3 linked regions of the Arabidopsis thaliana genome follow. The protein of the gene in region 2 interacts with the protein of the main gene of each other region in a pairwise test. Each region holds a gene or a part of one and is shown on either strand. Other genes may lie near its edges.

Evidence for each region. The genes of interacting proteins can lie anywhere in the genome.
Region 1: the proteins of CA1 (region 2) and BT4 interact in a two-hybrid assay, tested with the Arabidopsis thaliana proteins (one large-scale study listed by BioGRID).
Region 3: the proteins of CA1 (region 2) and AT2G28960 interact in a protein complementation assay, tested with the Arabidopsis thaliana proteins (one large-scale study listed by BioGRID).

The regions. Positions count from the first base shown.
Region 1 is NC_003076.8:26,930,432-26,934,765, forward strand, and holds BT4 (BTB and TAZ domain protein 4), read right to left. Parts: upstream 2,395-4,334; 5' UTR 2,099-2,394; coding exon 1,829-2,098; intron 1,689-1,828; coding exon 1,558-1,688; intron 1,450-1,557; coding exon 1,143-1,449; intron 1,068-1,142; coding exon 624-1,067; 3' UTR 509-623; downstream 1-508. Other genes in the region: AT5G67490 (succinate dehydrogenase assembly factor), read right to left, coding at 3,937-4,263. UniProt on the Arabidopsis thaliana protein: May act as a substrate-specific adapter of an E3 ubiquitin-protein ligase complex (CUL3-RBX1-BTB) which mediates the ubiquitination and subsequent proteasomal degradation of target proteins.
Region 2 is NC_003074.8:193,918-199,907, forward strand, and holds CA1 (carbonic anhydrase 1), read right to left. Parts: upstream 4,244-5,990; 5' UTR 3,957-4,243; coding exon 3,735-3,956; intron 3,648-3,734; exon of another isoform or gene 2,931-3,647; intron 2,809-2,930; coding exon 2,747-2,808; intron 2,589-2,746; coding exon 2,439-2,588; intron 2,339-2,438; coding exon 2,290-2,338; intron 2,182-2,289; coding exon 2,065-2,181; intron 1,925-2,064; coding exon 1,871-1,924; intron 1,778-1,870; coding exon 1,692-1,777; intron 1,595-1,691; coding exon 1,489-1,594; intron 1,421-1,488; coding exon 1,262-1,420; coding exon of another isoform or gene 1,256-1,261; exon of another isoform or gene 975-1,255; coding exon 936-974; 3' UTR 509-935; downstream 1-508. Other genes in the region: LSF1 (uncharacterized protein), read right to left, coding at 4,938-5,060, 5,187-5,331, 5,507-5,619, 5,732-5,837, 5,942-5,990. UniProt on the Arabidopsis thaliana protein: Reversible hydration of carbon dioxide. Required for photosynthesis in cotyledons. Binds salicylic acid.
Region 3 is NC_003071.7:12,437,210-12,444,627, reverse strand, and holds AT2G28960 (Leucine-rich repeat protein kinase family protein), read left to right. Parts: upstream 1-2,035; 5' UTR 2,036-2,280; coding exon 2,281-2,371; intron 2,372-2,677; coding exon 2,678-3,206; intron 3,207-3,300; coding exon 3,301-3,773; intron 3,774-4,114; coding exon 4,115-4,259; intron 4,260-4,355; coding exon 4,356-4,427; intron 4,428-4,614; coding exon 4,615-4,686; intron 4,687-4,789; coding exon 4,790-4,867; intron 4,868-4,946; coding exon 4,947-5,104; intron 5,105-5,208; coding exon 5,209-5,441; intron 5,442-5,517; coding exon 5,518-5,644; intron 5,645-5,742; coding exon 5,743-5,808; intron 5,809-5,884; coding exon 5,885-6,074; intron 6,075-6,161; coding exon 6,162-6,570; 3' UTR 6,571-6,910; downstream 6,911-7,418. Other genes in the region: AT2G28970 (Leucine-rich repeat protein kinase family protein), read right to left, coding at 1-39, 329-520, 640-709.

The DNA of each region.
Region 1 (4,334 bases), on a different chromosome or scaffold from region 2:
ATAGATAGATATATATATGAAAATTTCGTAATTTCTTGATTTTGGTTAAGTTTTGTGTTTCTTTGTTGTTGAAGGAATCAGAACCCAATACGAAAGTGATTAGAAAAAGGGATTTTGAAAGGAGAAGAAAATATATACTACACATGATACGATCATTGTTGAGGATTTGGTTTTGTGACAATGAATGTTTCCAACATTACTAATTTAATGAAATAGAAACATGTGATGTGAGTGAGGCCGATTTTGTGTACACTTGTACCACGTCCTCTCAGCTCTTACTGCTTTTGTCTTGTTCTACGTCACTTTTTCCCACCACGATCTTTTCGTTTCCTTTTTTCCATATTTGGATTTATTAAAAATAACAAAGCAAGTTGGGTCCTATAAAATTTGGTAGATTCTTCTTCTTCTGTTCATTTCACAACAAGATGACTCACTGAGCTTATTACCAATTTTGCCACTTAATCACTAAACCGATCCGTAGACCGGATTTGATATTCCAGAGACTCTCTTGGCCGACCAAAATATGTGTCATTTATTCAAACTCATTATGTTACACTTGTTTTAAAGATAGGATCACAAGAAACGCTTAAAACTCGCCCTTCTTGAGATTGACAAAATGTTTTTTAACAGTTTGTCACCGGTAAAAAGAAAGGAGAGCCTCCGATTTTCTTACTCCCCAATACATTCTTCACCAGAAGTTTCCATCTCGACTCATCTTTCTTGCTCTGTTTCTCCATCTTCTCCTTAAGGTTTCTGCATAGAGGGACTCGACATTGATCAGAACCTGCGCAAACACGTGAATGCAGTTCAAGGAGTTGCCACATTCTCTTGCAATGCACGCAACCTCCTGGAACTCTTAGCTTACAGCCTGCGAAATGCCGGATCAGTGATTCTAATCCCTTGCAAGCTTCATAGTTACACGTTGCATGGTTCGGTTTGAAATCTTTATCGTGTGGCCCTATTGTTTTACATCCATCTCTGCATATATGAACAAGTGCTTCCATTGCTTCGTATAGCTGCGAATATATCCTCTGATCATTGCGTTTTCTCATCCTCTCTTTCCGCGTCTGCGTTTATGTTCAAGATTTAGAATTTAGGAGAAAATACAGGGAAAAAAGGAAGTTTATTAAATCACTACTTACATTTGCTTCGATGATTACTGAGTCTCTAACTTCTTTCTCAAGAAAGGGATGGCTTTTCTTCATAGCTGTCCATGCTTCTGTCGCAGAGAGTTCGTTAAAGTGTTTCATGATCATACGGTGAGATATGAGGCTAAGCCGAGGGAAATCACACAGCAGCGCAAGCTGGAACACATCAACCACATTCTCAGTGGTAAGCAAACCATGTTCTAGATGCCATTCACAGACCCGTTTCAGCTGAGGAACCACGTACGCGTGTGACAGAAGTAGCAAATGCATGATAAACTCGTTCATTTCTTCTTTCTCATAGCTACACAAAGGAAATCAGATTTCGTCAGTGAAAAGATCATAAGACGAATGTTAAAAGAGGCAGAGCAAATAAATATAGAGAGCAAGAAGAAATGGAATTTATATATACCAAGAAGAGTAGAGGAAACGGATAAAAACTCGCACAGCATCATGAGGGACACCTCGGATTGATATTGTATGCCACTTGCCATGTCTCTTGGCTTGCTTCAACATGCCTTTGATCACAGTGGAAGCAGTTCCCTATTAATTCAAGAAAGACAATGTCCATATCAACCAAGTCTAGACCTTTCTAATCAACTGCTAAAGTCTGTATTCGCTTAGCTAAAGATCCTAACTACACATTGATAATTATGGTCAAAGGAGTTATAAGGAGAGCTTACAAGGATGTTGGCATGAGCATAGATGATACTGCCATTATCTGTATAGATGACTACATCAGCTTTGTATCCGTCATTGAAAAGACGATCCCACATATCTCTTGTGGCTGTCGAAACGCTGCTATGCCCAAGTTTTTTCTTGAGTCCATCAGATTTTGATGGAAGAGGAGGAGGAATTGGCACAGAAGATGAATCTGCAGATTTGAAAGATTGATGAAGATCAACACAACCTGTCACCATTCTCTTGTTTAGCTTATCTTCTCTTCCCTGCATCAATCAAATGAAAATATATATTGTCGATTCTTTAGCCACAGATAAACTTCATTGTCATTTCTACACGAAATATGTGACTCAGACAACAATTTTCACAGCATTATGTAACCAGATCTCATTTACGATTACAAATCGAATAGGATAAGAACAAATCTCTACATATATATTCACACGAAAATATCAATCAGAAATAACAAGAATTCTTGAAACAGATCGATAGAAAATGTAAGAACAAGAATCAATCAATGCTCTAATTTGTTCCGACATATATACCTTGAAAAGATTCAGACCACAGAATCAGGTTGCTTCGAAGAGGCAAGTCAAACAAAATTAACGAGAAAATCTTCTCCTTGGTAGAAAGAGCATGAGAAGAAACTCTCTCTATAGAGAAGCTTGAGAGATCAGAGATCTCTTACCATTATATAAACACACACACTCACAAAAACAATAGAAGACGACAAAAAAAATCCCACCGAAAGGATAATTTATTGTTTTAATTTCCTTATTATCTCACTTTTTTCTTACTTTTGTGTTCAATAATTTGAAGATATTTTCTTGGTTCATATCATCAACAGAGACACCCACCTGCGAAAATTACCCGAGAGGCGCGTGGAGTCTACGGTTACGAAACGGACGGCTGAGAATCCACGCGCCTTAACGGCCTTTTTTCCTCGTTCTTGAAAAAGCTTTCGTCAAGTTGGTTTTATTATCGGCTTTATCAATTGAAACACGACTCTGCATGTTTTTTTTTTATAAATGATTTAATTTAAGAGCCGTACAAAAACAGATCAGTGTGTCCTTTGTTTTTTTTGTTCTTGTTCGGCGTTACACAGCTCATAATTAGCTGTTCGTTTTTTCAAACTTTTATCCGTATTATTATCCTTTCTTCTTCAAAGATAAATTTAGATTAGTCTTAATTTTAACCACATGATCAGATACTCTCTTCAAAAATGTTAACTAATCGTGAATTATGTTGAGGTCCGCAAAATTGCGTCATAAATATTTTACTGGTCTCTCTTCATATTTCTTAGCTTCGCTTGAATTGATTGTTACCCTTTTTTCCCTTTTTTTCTGTGTTTACTATAATGCCACGTTTCTTCTATCGAATAATCTAAAACAGAAGAAGAAGAAGTCAAAATGCTTTTTATATGATCATTTTCTTGTATTTTTTTTTAGTTTTTGATCGGAGTAAAGTTATAAGAACTTCAAAAAAAAAAAAAAAAAAAAAATGCATGATGATGCCAATCTTTTTCTAACTTTTAAAGAGTATTGGAACATAATACATATATCATGTAAACTGATATTTTTAATTGTAATTTTATATCATATACGGATTTAATTGTAATTTGAGCATCACCCAGTTGTGCAATTGTAGTTATCACAGAAGTGCACATTGCAATGTTGTTGAACAACAGAAATACCTTGACATCATCTCACTGACCCATGCAGCCATGCCTAAACTTGGACCAGAACTCATGTAACCACCGGGTAATGTCAAACCTGAACTCTGAACTCTCAGGTTAGTTAAACTCATCTCTTGTTGTTTCCTTAATTCTAAATCATCACTAAACCTGTATTAAAGTGTCCCAAATTTTTTAGATAGAGATGTATAGATGCACATTTAACCCACCTGAGGAAGAACTTATTAACTATTACTGGAATAACAAGATCACCAGAGAATGATGATCCAAATAAAGGCAACGAATTTGAAGTTCTACTACATTTTCTTCCATTTTCTCCATTATTTTGCAAATACATAAACACATAAAACGAATTTATTTCCATTTTTCCCAGAAATATATAAGAACAAGCTAAAACACAGGGATACATGAATCCTCTCAGAAATCAGAGCATCGACCACGTTGTTCCCAATCGCCGTACCGAGTCGGTTCAGGACCTCTAGGCCCTCCAATCTCACCAGTATCTTCGTTCACAAACTCTCCACCTCCACCACCTTCTCCTTCCTCTTCTTCTTCCTTCTGCATCTGCAGATTCTGTTGAAGATTCTGATCTGGCTTCACGTCCCGGTTCAGATCCTGATTCGGAGATGGAGCTTGCGGCGGAGGAGGTGTACCGGAGCTTAGAAACCGTGACACTGGCTCGAGGAATCTAGAGGAGACGGATCGGCTTGGAGCGATCAAACGTACGATGTTGTTCGTCGCCATTGTTAGATCAGATGTGTCGGCCAAATCAAGAAAGAGATCCGACCTTCACGGTTTGTGATAGTATAGGGTTC
Region 2 (5,990 bases):
ATGTAACATCAAATATAATGTATTTATCAAATCAATGAGTAGATATATATAGTTCATGTCTTCATGAAATCATGGGACTCTTGGTCACTTTGCTACTTTTTCCTCAAGCTTTAGCCTTTTCGTTTTGTGGGTTTAATCTTCTTCGATCGATTTATACCGGATTCATAAACGTCGTCCTTGGACAAAGATTTAAGCCCGTTCAACGGTGCTTTTTCATGATGGATATGTAAAACCTAAACCGAACCTGACCATTTAATTGCCACAATAAAGAATTGCAAACTTGGGCCTAGGCCCATAATGTGTAGGCGGACAAATTTAAACAGCAACATACACAGACAAATTTCAGATGTTTATATTTTATATGACCAAAAAACTACGAAGCTACAAATCTACAGTTTCACTATCCGCATCCGGATCTGTTAGACTGGGATATCCGGGTTCCGGGTACCAGAATTCGACAGTTTTAAGGATTTGGGTATCGAACCCAGAAATTAAAAGATCCAGAGTTCTAGGGTTTGTGAGATATCGAGAAGAGATCGAAATGATTTTGTGACCTTCAAAGAATGATTTTGTGTTTGTGTCGGCAAGTGATAATTAATTGGGCTTGGGTATCAAAAATATTTGGTTTGTTAAATATATGGGCTTTTAGCTAAATGGGTTTCCAAGCCTTTTTATTTCATGTAGTTAATGGTACCGGATCCGGATATCCGGGTTCATTTTTTTCATTATCCGGATCCGCCCGTCCCGGATATCCTTATTTACGATTCAATGATTTTTTTTTGATTTTTTTTTTTTTAGTTTTTATTCAAATTTCTGTCCCCCAAGATTTTAATTCTGTAAAATCAAAAACCAGTTTCATCAAGATCTGCATGTAAACAACAACTTGGTGTTATTGAATTGACAATGTGAAATCGGGTAAGGCTTCAAAGAGTTTCCTACAGCTTCCAATGTAGTATGGTAGCCACATCTTTAACCTACCAAACAACATAGAAAATAAAATCAAACCATAAATACAACCGATTTGATACACAAATAATAAAGACAATTGTTCATAATTAAACCACGAAAGATCTATATCATCTGCTTTTCCTTTTTGTTTTATATATATGAAGAAAGTTGGTAGAGAGGGAGAGATAACTCATCACAGTCAAAGGCACATTACAAATTACATATGGGGTAGATATATATTATATACGATGATAATAATGATGATGATGATGGATGGTCATGATGATGATGATGATGATGGATTGGTTCATACAGAGCTAGTTTCGGAGAGGCCAAATTCAAGTCCCCAAAGCTCAAAAGCACCCTTGACGAAGTCATAGTAGCCTCCCTTCAAAGCAAGTGTTCCCTTCACAAGTCCTTCTCTCACAAATGGATATGTCAATAGGTTTGCTAGTGAAACATTCACCGCCTCCTGCATTTATCAATACATTTATATTGTTATATATGATCAGCTCATCGATCTAACATGTGTTTGTATACCCTTTCACATCGGCCACATTGATCTTCAAAGGCTGAATCTCCAAGTTCTGATATAACCTTTGACTTGGCTGGTAAACAGATTTTGACCCAGTCCTCTATGAAGTCACTGCAATTAACGTATATATTTTTTACTAATCTCATTTAATAAATCCTGTTATTAAAATTGATTAAATTTTAATAAAATGGATATAGAGATATTTTACGTGGAGTTGTTTCCATCTAAGGGGAAAGACATAAGCCCTTTGATCCCACCACATGCACTGTGTCCTATCACCACAATGTTCTCCACCTACAGTAATAAATTCATTCAAAAATTAATTACATGTACTTTGATAAATAATTTTTTTTGGTTAAGGTGTTAATTATTTTATTTTATTTTCACCTTAAGGTGTAAGACCGCGTATTCAATGGCTGCTCCAACGCCACCGTATTTGACCTGCCAATTTAGCAACCCAAAAATGAAAATAGAAAGTGAATGTCACGACTTCTCAAGACAAAAGTCAAGACTCAAGAGGCAGAAGGTTTAAGATAGAAGAGTTTATATCTATAGAGAGACAGACGTGTTAAATTATTAACCTTGTCGAAAGGAGGAACCATGTTGGCTATGTTACGGACCACGAAGGCATCTCCTGGCTGAAAGTCCAGAACGTGTGATGGACACACACGTGAGTCTGAACAAGCAAACACCATGTACTGCACCACCATTCACACACCTTTGTTAATTACTTTTTCTTAATGTTTCATTTTTAATTTATAAGCAACCATGATATACACATAGTATTAGTTTTATTTTTAATTTACCTTAGGACTTTGACCCTTTGCGAGCTCACCGTACAAAGCAGGGTTGGTTCTGCAAATAAAAGTATAAATATGAACCAGTTAATTAATCTAGACCACTTTAGTTGGTGACATAATTAAGAACAAACAAATGAAATAGAAATATATATTACTCGTATTTCTCCTTCTTGAATTTGATGAAGCCCTGCTTAATGGTTTCGACGGGGTCGAAAGCTTTCTTGTCGGATGAAGTACCTGTCTGAAGAGCCGCTGTGATCTGCTCCACCTTTGCCGCTGCAACCGTCTTTAGCTCTTCCTTCTCGCTGCCATATGTTTATATACATTTATAGTTAAATCACAAAAATTATGAATTAAGTAGTATTGAAAAATCCCGTTACTAATTTATAATAATGTTTTAGCTTTTATTAATCTAATCATGTATTAATGTATGCATGCGAATAGAAAAGATGTATATACTTACATGAGAAGCTTCTTGAGAGCTTCAATAGCCTCGTCGTATGCTTCGGTTCCCATCTCTTCACTCTGCAAGTTGGTTGACCAAATAAAATTAGAAGAAAATGAGTACTAGTATATTTTATTGTCGTGAACGTAATTAAGTAGAGAGCGAGTCATGACGTGTTTTAAATGTTGAAACTACAATCAACCTGTTCAGAACTTCATTATACGATAAAGTACAATTTTATAGTCTTTTATATTATGATTTTATTTTCGCTAGTAGGAACCAAATCGGTAGGTTGAATGAATAAATATAGATGGCGACTTAATCACCACTATGCTCCACACGCTCTCATATGGTACATGTGCATACACACACGTCTCAGTTTCATGAATCGTTTTTGTTGAAGCTACTACTAGCAACTTTTCTTTTATCACGTGGATCCTACGTACGTTCTAACTCTCAAAATTTCAAAAATGTCGGATCTTGGGTAGGAATGAGACAACGCTTTTAATATTTCGAGGTGATTTGTTTTTAACTTCACTAGATGTCGAAGCAAGTAGTTTGAAGATCTGTATAGAATAAGGATTGAAAATGAACTCTTCCCTTGCTTGTGATTCACTAATTAAGCAACTTTAGTTTGATTCTTGTTAATTTGGGTAATTCTTTCAGTACCACGCTAAAGACCAAAAGTCAAACACGGATGATAATAGTAAGGATAATATAAGGAAATACCAAGGGAAAAAAAAACTGAAATGTGAAACACATGTGACAGTTTCCAAGATTTGTGGAAGTTTCGTAAGCTAGTTTCTATAGAAGATTTTTGTTCCTATCACTAAAATGGCAATTGCAGAATCTATATAATAATTTCGTAAAATCTTTACAAATTTTAAAATTCTGTAACTTTAGTTTGCTATCTATGTAATGTACCCCTATTATACGTAAACAGCAATGTAAGTTATGTAAGAAATAATGTAGGTTAAGAAACAGTGATGAATGTAAAAATGTATACCCAATAAGGGGCAATGATAGGAGCAGGAGCGGCAAAAACTGGCTCGTTACGGATAAGCGTTGGAACGGAACGGGAAGACGAGGAGGAGGAAGATGAGGAAGAAGAAGAGGCGGGTGGGAGGCAAGCGACGGTGGAAGAAGTACGAAGAGAGAGTTTCTGGAGAGAAGATTGAGAAGGAGAAAGTGAAGTGAGAAAGAAGCCGGAGAGAGGAGCGGTCGACATTTGTTGGCGAAGAGAAGCGGAGATCAGAGAGAGTGAGATATGTGTATTTATAGTTAGAACTAAGACTCTTATGGAAGCTACTATATACTTAAGTGAATAATGGGATTGGTTGAAAGATTTGGGAGTTTAAAAGAACGGAGTCTCATGGTCATGGTGAGGTTGTGGGAACGAGGATAACGAAAGCGATAGCTGCGGTGAATAACAAACTTTCTTCTTTTCTTGTGGATGAGGAATATTAGCTCAAGATTTCAAAACTTTTACGTGCTCTTTTCTTCTTTCAATTCTTTTTTTTATAAAAAAATAAAAGGTCTCAGAAAGGTTTAGAGGATAAGGTCCCTTATCATGAAAACAAGGATCAGCCTCTTTCACTTACCCTCTCAGGCTCTCATCTTAAATAATCACCACCCACTTTAGATGTTAGGCCATTTGTTTGTGGTATACATATAGAAAGATCCATACTTCTCTAGGCTCTCTCTAGACCAGAGATTGCTATTGTATACACAATCTAGAAGATGCAAAGGATTAACATCGATCATGGACTGTTCTACTCTACGAAACAACAGACTCAGTGAAAACTCTTAGCATGAAAATGAAGAGGAAATAAAAAAAATAGAGAAGAAGGGTCTCTCCTCTCAGACCTTCCATGGCCATAAATCATCATATAGGCAACATTAGATAACAGAGTTTCTATTTTCTTCAACATGTTAGGAGAGAGCGAGAGAGAGAGAGAAAATGAAGAAGAAATACAGAGACCAGTAACGCATTAGGGTTGGTTTTGGGACTTATATGTAAAGTGGGCAACGGCGAAACTATGTCGACATTTTTTCATGCAAACACACAACATAATGTCAACATTCTCTTGTCATAGAGTGCGCGAATGTGGCAATGTTGTTCACAACGATATTAGGGTTAAGTACCTCGAGGAATGGATAGAGACAGAAGAATGGATGTAACATTTTAACTTATGCCAAAACAAAACTTCTACGACTTTGGGCATAGTCTTATTGGACAAACTGAGAATGCGATACACCGAGCTGCTTTCGCCAGCCTAAATCTTTCGCTCTCTGTTAACACTCTCTCGATCACCTTTATGATATTTGCATCCTGCAAAACATTGTACAAGTTGCTTCAGGTTTATGTCTTGAACCAATCAGGCAAATATAACGTGGAACATCTTATTCAAGCTTTTCCTATTGTATGAAGAAGAGACTACTGCATAGTAGGAGTAACCTTTCTTGGTTGTTGAATTGTAGGCCTGACGTTAGCAACATCACCAACTACAATTATATTGTTCGTGTTTCCTCGGTCATCTCTTTCCGTTGGTGAAGTTGCTGAATGCCTCCAATCACCGTTGATTATGTACTTGTAGTAGTATCTGCCACATTGTCAATAATCACCAAGTTATATGACACAAATGCATTTTCATAAGTTTCTTTGCAGTTTGCAATCCCTCAAAAGTCACAATTAACATGCAGGGAAGATTATGAGACGTTTTACTGTTGAACCTTAAAAAAAGCATCAACGGGAAAGGTAAAAGAAGCATGACTTACTTTCCCTGTGTAAGTCTAACTTCAGTTTCAAAACGTGGACCGCCTTTGTGCGTTGCTTTTATCGGTTCTTTCCAATTTCCTGTGAAATCCCCAACCAACAATACCTCCTCCCCCTGTAAACCAAGGTGTAACTTAAAACACAGAGGCTAGTTGCTCAACCCTACAGATCACGAGTTCCATAAAGAATTGCAGCAAAGTAATAAAAGCATGTGAAGCAACAGTCACCTCATGTCCATTCCACACAAAGGTTACAGAGTGTGTTGGAGTCCCATCATGTTTGCCATCGTCCACCATAGCGATAAGATCCCATGTTGCCCAAGCAATTGCAGGTCTGTGAAAAAATACATATAACTTGTCTGATGTTTTCATTAAAACAGAAAAGCTATCCATGGTCTGCAGGTTAATGGTCAAGACAGAGATAAGATGGATAAAAACCTGTCAGGTTTGCAAGCGTGCAATCCAGTAACGAAACTATAAGCAGCAT
Region 3 (7,418 bases), on a different chromosome or scaffold from region 2:
AAGTGCTGCAATGAACCCGGAAAGAGTTCCTCAGTGAGCCTGAATGCGTAAGATAAGTATCATTTCTCATTGGTCGTAGTTCTATAGATGATATTATTGGCGAGGTTGGTCCTGTTTTAACAAGACAAATATCCAAAGAGCTTGACCTCACTCTGTGTATGATCTCCTCGAATGTACCATTTTGTCTTCCTTCCATATCTATTCTTGCCCACTTATCAGGACCAAGATAGAGATCAAAGTTTGGATAAATATTAAGACCATCATAATTTCCATATATGAAGGTAACCAATATAAGATAATTTGTGCCACGAGTGACATTCAGACTAACAATTACGCTTTCCTTCCGGAAAGTATCTTAGAGTCAAATATGGTTTTCGGAATATTTTGTTGAGCTCTTTATCGACTCTACCACTTTCTCCAGTCTGGATAAATGTTGAATCTGATGTGAATGTTAATCCAGTAGATGGATCACTATAAGGAGATTCCTCAATAGGAAATCCGCAATCCAAACTGATGAAACCTGTTCAAGCATAAAAAGGATCGACGAAGTTTAAAAAAAAACTATATATAGAAGATATATCAATTTAAAGGATGGATGATCCTCGGTGAATATCTACTAAAGAGTTTATAAATTATTACCTTCTTGTTTTTGGGCGCCAACTATAACGGCAAAGGTTCCAATTATGGCCAACAAAAGATGGCTCATCATCTTCTTGGAAAGCTAATATGGAAATCAAGAACATAAAAAAGACTTGCTTAGTGAAAACAAGGAGCTACGTAAATGAGAAATACCTCACATACACAGATTGGAAGGAATAATACATTAAAGAAAGTCAACTTAAGCCAGACATGAAGATTGAATAATTGCGAGAATTGCTTTATTTTTGGTTTATTGTGTGAATTTCTTTGACATGTTCCAACCCCAACTTGTGTTTAAAATAATAGGTTATGATCATAAGACTCCGACATGTATAGGAATTTCCTTGTATTAAGGTTTGTATATGTCTTCTTTAAACCCTTGACCAAACATAATAAATCTTCGATTGATCGTTAGACTTGGAGCACAAGGATATAACAAGGTTTGATTTAAGTAATTAGTTTGAACCCGGTCGTTACAAAAAAGGATTTACTACATATGAAAAACAATTACATATTACAACCTATTTGAAACATTACGTCTGATTCACATAAAGAAACATTACGTCTGATCCACAATAATTATAGACGTAACTTATGTAACTTGTTGTAGAATAATTATGTAAAAGAGAGAATTCGTATATTACAACATGGACAGGAAAAAATAAAGATAAAGATCATTTTGTTTGATTCAATGATTTGCTTCTTACAAACTCAGGTATTTATACAAATAATGTGCATCAAGGTAGCCAGTACTAAATTTTAAAAATATATTTACAACCACACTTTAACTATTACAAACTTGTTAAAAAAGCAACAATAAAAAATAAGAATTATCACATAATTAATATTTTTATATAGTTAACACATACAGTTTCCGATTGTCAAAGCTCCATTAAAAAAGCAAATTGTGAACCAAGTGGATAATGGTCCAGTAGCGTTTGGAAATGATCTTTCCAAAATAAGGTTTGATCTCTTTTCCCACTAAATCCCACCTAACAAGGGATATTAACAAAGGTTGATGTAGAATTTCTTGGTTGACAATGTATAGTAATACTGAGAATATGAGCTATAACTATAAGAGGCCAGCTATCTCTTAACGTCTATGAGTAAGCCATAGATAGATAATGCATATACAGGCAAACAAAACGAATATTAGGGTTTGTCAAGAAAAGACTAATCTTAGTTTATTTTTGAAGACCAAGAATTTTACATTATTGCAGAGGTATTGCGATTATAATTGAGTGAAAGTCAACAAAATGTATTAAATCCACCAAGTTGTTGTTAAGTACAAGTCGTTAGCAGAATTATCATATAGTTTATAAAGCTTTGACATTAGATCAACTTGGCAGGTTTTACATTGTTTAAACAAAGATTACATCAGGTGCTTTGATTTATGATTAAATTGCTCTCTTTTTTCCACAAAGTGGAATATAAATGTATATATCTTTGTTAGACCATTCTTCAGTCGTGCTTGGATATGAATCTATAATTGGAGAGTATTCCACGCCAACATGTGTTTTGGATTTTAATTGATCTTCATCTAAAGTATTTCTATCATTTGTACTAGAAAATCAATATATTGTATCATATATTTCAGATTGTCTTTGGTTTCAAAAATTTGTATGTTAACTTAACTTGAAAATGGAAGGTCGTCGTCAACGTTTACTGGTGTTCATCTTTGGGGCTTTGGCCATTACACATCTTGTTCAAGCTCAGCCGCCTGATCAACGAGGTTTCTCTATATACCTTTTTTTAATAATTGCTTCATGTTCAGTTTTTGACACATAAAGACTTAAGGATTAGCCAAGTAGTTGAGTGTTCTTGCTCGACTGGTCGAGATCACTAACCGATTTCTACTTTGTTGTACGCATAGCCACCATGAAAATAATATTAACGATTACAGATATAAGAGATTTGGTTAAAGAAAATAAAGGATTCTCTGTTTTCCAAAACTTTTGATTGTCTTCCTTATAAGCTTCATGGTCTAACAAAAGGAAAACATTATTTTTCACTAATAATACATTTTGTATCTTGCCAGGATTCATCAGTTTGGATTGCGGTTTACCCGTTAATGAGTCTCCTTATACCGACCCACGAACCGGATTAACATTCTCATCTGATGCTGATTTTATTTTAAGTGGTTTACGTGGTGAAGCTGGGGATGATAACACATATATCTACAGGCAGTACAAGGATTTGAGATATTTTCCCGATGGAATACGAAACTGCTATAATCTGAAAGTAGAGCAAGGCATCAACTATTTGATAAGAGCAGGGTTCGGATATGGAAATTATGATGGTCTTAATGTATATCCCAAATTTGATTTACATGTTGGGCCTAACATGTGGATTGCGGTTGATTTGGAATTCGGAAAAGATCGTGAGATCATTTACATGACAACGTCGAACTTATTGCAGATTTGTCTTGTCAAAACAGGATCAACTATACCAATGATATCAACCTTGGAACTACGGCCACTAAGAAATGATTCATATTTGACTCAATTCGGTCCCTTAGACCTCATCTACCGGCGGGCCTATAGTAGCAATTCTACCGGTTTTATACGGTATGTAAACTCAACTTTAGCAACTCTTTTATAAAAAAAAACAATCTAACATGATTCATTTACTTTTGCATGGCTACTCCAAAAATGGTTTTAGGTATCCTGATGATATTTTTGATCGCAAATGGGACCGATATAATGAATTTGAAACGGATGTGAACACCACCCTCAACGTGAGATCCTCGAGTCCCTTTCAAGTACCAGAAGCTGTAAGTAGGATGGGAATCACGCCCGAAAATGCCAGCTTGCCATTGAGATTTTACGTGTCTCTAGATGACGACAGTGACAAGGTTAACGTGTACTTTCACTTTGCCGAAATCCAAGCTTTGAGGGGCAATGAGACTAGAGAATTCGACATTGAATTGGAAGAAGATATTATTCAGTCAGCATATAGTCCTACGATGTTACAATCAGATACCAAATATAACCTATCACCTCACAAATGTAGCTCCGGGTTGTGCTACTTGAAACTCGTTAGAACTCCAAGGTCAACTCTTCCACCGCTGATTAGTGCTATTGAGGCTTTCAAGGTTGTGGACTTTCCATACGCTGAAACAAATCCAAATGACGGTACGCCACTATTCCATTCTCTATTCTGTAAGAAAGGGCTTATTTGCAAAAAAAAAAAAAACAATCACAAAATTGGGGGAAAAATAATGGTCACAAAACGGAGAAAATATTCATGTGTTTATCGTGTTTAATTTGAAATATTGTACTACCATGTTAAAAATTGTGTTATGAAATATGACATGATATTTGTTAAAAATAGCGCGATAAATGAACCAACTTAATCTTTTTTTTTTTTGCAAATAATAGGGTGGAATTTTTGTTTATTTAGTACATACCCTCATTAAGAAACTTTAATCTTTTATATGCTAATTCTTGGCTTCCTCCTCGAACCATTATGTTAGTCGCTGCTATGAAGGATATCGAAGCATTTTATGGATTGAAGATGATTAGTTGGCAAGGAGATCCTTGTGTCCCTGAACTATTAAAGTGGGAAGATCTAAAATGCAGCTACACAAATAAGTCTACTCCTCCAAGAATTATTTCTTTGTACGATCATTATATATCTCATAAGCATATTGAAACCTAAATCTCTTAAGTCTTAAGTATCTTATATCTGAAAAAATGTTCTTATATTGTGAACAGAGATTTGTCATCACGAGGGTTAAAAGGGGTCATTGCGCCTGCCTTCCAAAATTTGACCGAGCTTCGAAAACTGTAAGAGCTATTAGTATTTTACTTAAACGCGATCCATGAGAAAACATTTATATTGTGACCAACATATTTCTAATTTTTCACATCTTATAACAAATTGGACGAAAAAAAATATCTCATCTCATACTATTTTTTTATTTATCCTATTAACGGAAAATAGATTGACTTTTTAACGTTTTATAAATACTAGAGACTTGTCAAATAATAGTTTTACTGGAGGAGTGCCCGAGTTTCTAGCCAGCATGAAGTCATTATCGATCATGTAAGTTGATATAAACAAACATAATGGCCGGCCACTTATATTTCACTAGGTATACTTGTTGTCACTTTACATTGACATTGTAATTTTGTGTTTACCTTGACAGAAATTTAAATTGGAATGACCTTACGGGTCCTCTTCCTAAATTGCTTCTTGATAGAGAAAAGAATGGGCTTAAGCTAACGTAAGATTTTCACCCTTCTTTTTTTTTTATCAACTTTCCTCAACCTATAGTCTTATTCAACAACACTTATTTTCTTAAGGATCCAAGGAAACCCAAAGTTGTGTAACGATGCGTCATGCAAAAATAATAACAATCAAACGTACATTGTACCAGTTGTTGCGTCAGTAGCTTCTGTGCTCATCATTATAGCCGTACTGATTCTCATTCTTGTTTTCAAAAAGAGAAGGCCAACGCAAGGTACATAATTATACAATGAGATATATATTCTTATCGTAACATGCATGCATGATGATGACATACCAAAAGATGCCTAATCTCATGGAACTTTTTGGTTGTGACAGTTGATTCATTACCTACAGTGCAACATGGGTTACCAAATAGACCGTCTATATTTACTCAAACGAAAAGGTTCACTTATTCAGAGGTAGAAGCATTAACAGATAATTTTGAAAGAGTTCTTGGAGAAGGAGGGTTTGGGGTAGTGTATCATGGTATTTTAAATGGTACGCAACCAATAGCTGTTAAACTACTCTCTCAATCATCAGTACAAGGCTATAAGGAATTCAAAGCTGAGGTATGTTAATACATAATACATGGAATATATTGTAACATGTGATGGCTCTTAAATTTGTTTGGACATGGGTGGTCAGGTTGAACTTCTTTTGAGAGTGCACCACGTCAATTTGGTTAGTTTGGTTGGATATTGTGATGAAGAAAGCAACTTGGCCCTGCTTTATGAGTATGCACCGAACGGAGACTTAAAACAACATCTATCAGGTATAAATTTGAATTTCCCACATTTTAAAATAGTGATTACTTAGCCATATTTTAATGTTCATGCTTTTATAACATTACTAAAAGTTTCTTAATTATAGGAGAACGGGGTGGCTCTCCATTGAAGTGGTCAAGTAGACTAAAAATTGTCGTCGAAACTGCGCAAGGTTCGTTCTTAGCTCAAATGCATTAATCACTTTATATGGATCATCTAACATGAACAATTTAATTATATAAATATAGGATTAGAATACTTGCATACGGGTTGCAAACCTCCAATGGTACATCGTGATGTAAAAACAACAAATATACTTTTAGACGAACACTTCCAAGCAAAACTCGCCGATTTTGGCCTTTCAAGATCATTTCCAGTTGGAGGTGAAACTCATGTTTCAACAGCTGTTGCTGGAACTCCTGGATATTTGGATCCCGAGTAAGTTTTACATCACCAAACTAGTTTGATTCAAATTGTTTTTCCTCATTCATTTGAAAAAAAAAATACTTCATGTTTTGTTTGTAGATATTATCGAACAAATAGGTTGAACGAAAAGAGTGATGTATATAGCTTTGGGATTGTATTATTGGAGATCATCACAAGTCGACCTGTGATTCAGCAAACCCGAGAGAAGCCGCACATAGCAGCATGGGTGGGATACATGCTTACTAAGGGAGATATTGAGAACGTTGTGGATCCAAGACTCAATAGAGATTATGAGCCTACTTCTGTTTGGAAGGCTCTTGAGATAGCAATGTCTTGCGTGAATCCTTCTTCGGAGAAAAGACCAACCATGTCTCAAGTTACTAATGAACTAAAGCAATGTCTAACATTAGAAAACTCAAAGCGAGGAGTGAGAGAAGACATGGGATCAAGAAGTTCTGTTGAAATGAGCACAAGCTTTACAACCGAAATTAACCCAAAAGCACGATAACTTGTGCCAAAAAAAATCCCATGGTTATTAAGGATTTTGGATTTCCCTGACTTACTTTACAAAAATATAATTTTTGGTGGTCATTTATTTGTACGACTTCATTGTATTTACTTGTGATTGTGGTCGTATGTGATATTAGTGTGGATGTTTTGTTTGGTTTGGTTTGGTTTGGTTTTATGTTGGTTGTGGCCTTGTGTGTGTTTTGGCGGTGATCCATCATAAATGATTCTTTTGCAAATCTCTGATGATTTTTTTCATCGGATTATGGTATTTTTATTGTTTATATATGCTCACTGATCCAAAATATGTTGTCATTGTTTATGTTACATGCTTCCCTAACTCCTTTTGTAATTGATCAAAAACTTTTGTTTGATAATTATCAAGTTTTGGACTAGTTCTTTTGGTCCATGGACTACAAATCTGCTTCCATCTAATGTTTCTCTGGACCAGTCTCATAATTATACATTTGTTGTTCACATAGTACATCTCCATAATATCATATATTTGACTTTCGGTATGAAATCTTTGTATATATATAGGTTGGACCAAGAAGTTAGGATTCATAATCATAAAAAGTAAGAAAGACGACTAGTTCACGACTCACATCAAATTCCAAAGTATAATTTTCTTCGTAAAATGAAAGTTATATTAGATGAAAATCTTGCAGGTCCATTGGATATCAATTCACGAGATATGTAAACATACCTATATTAATATCACATTATTTTGATTGTATTTGTATAAGTTTTCGCCTACTCACATGCCATGATTTTGCATAAGCTGTTTTTTTTTTTTTGCATAAGCTTATCAGGCTAGTTACGGTCACATTAGTTACTAGAACATTCAAC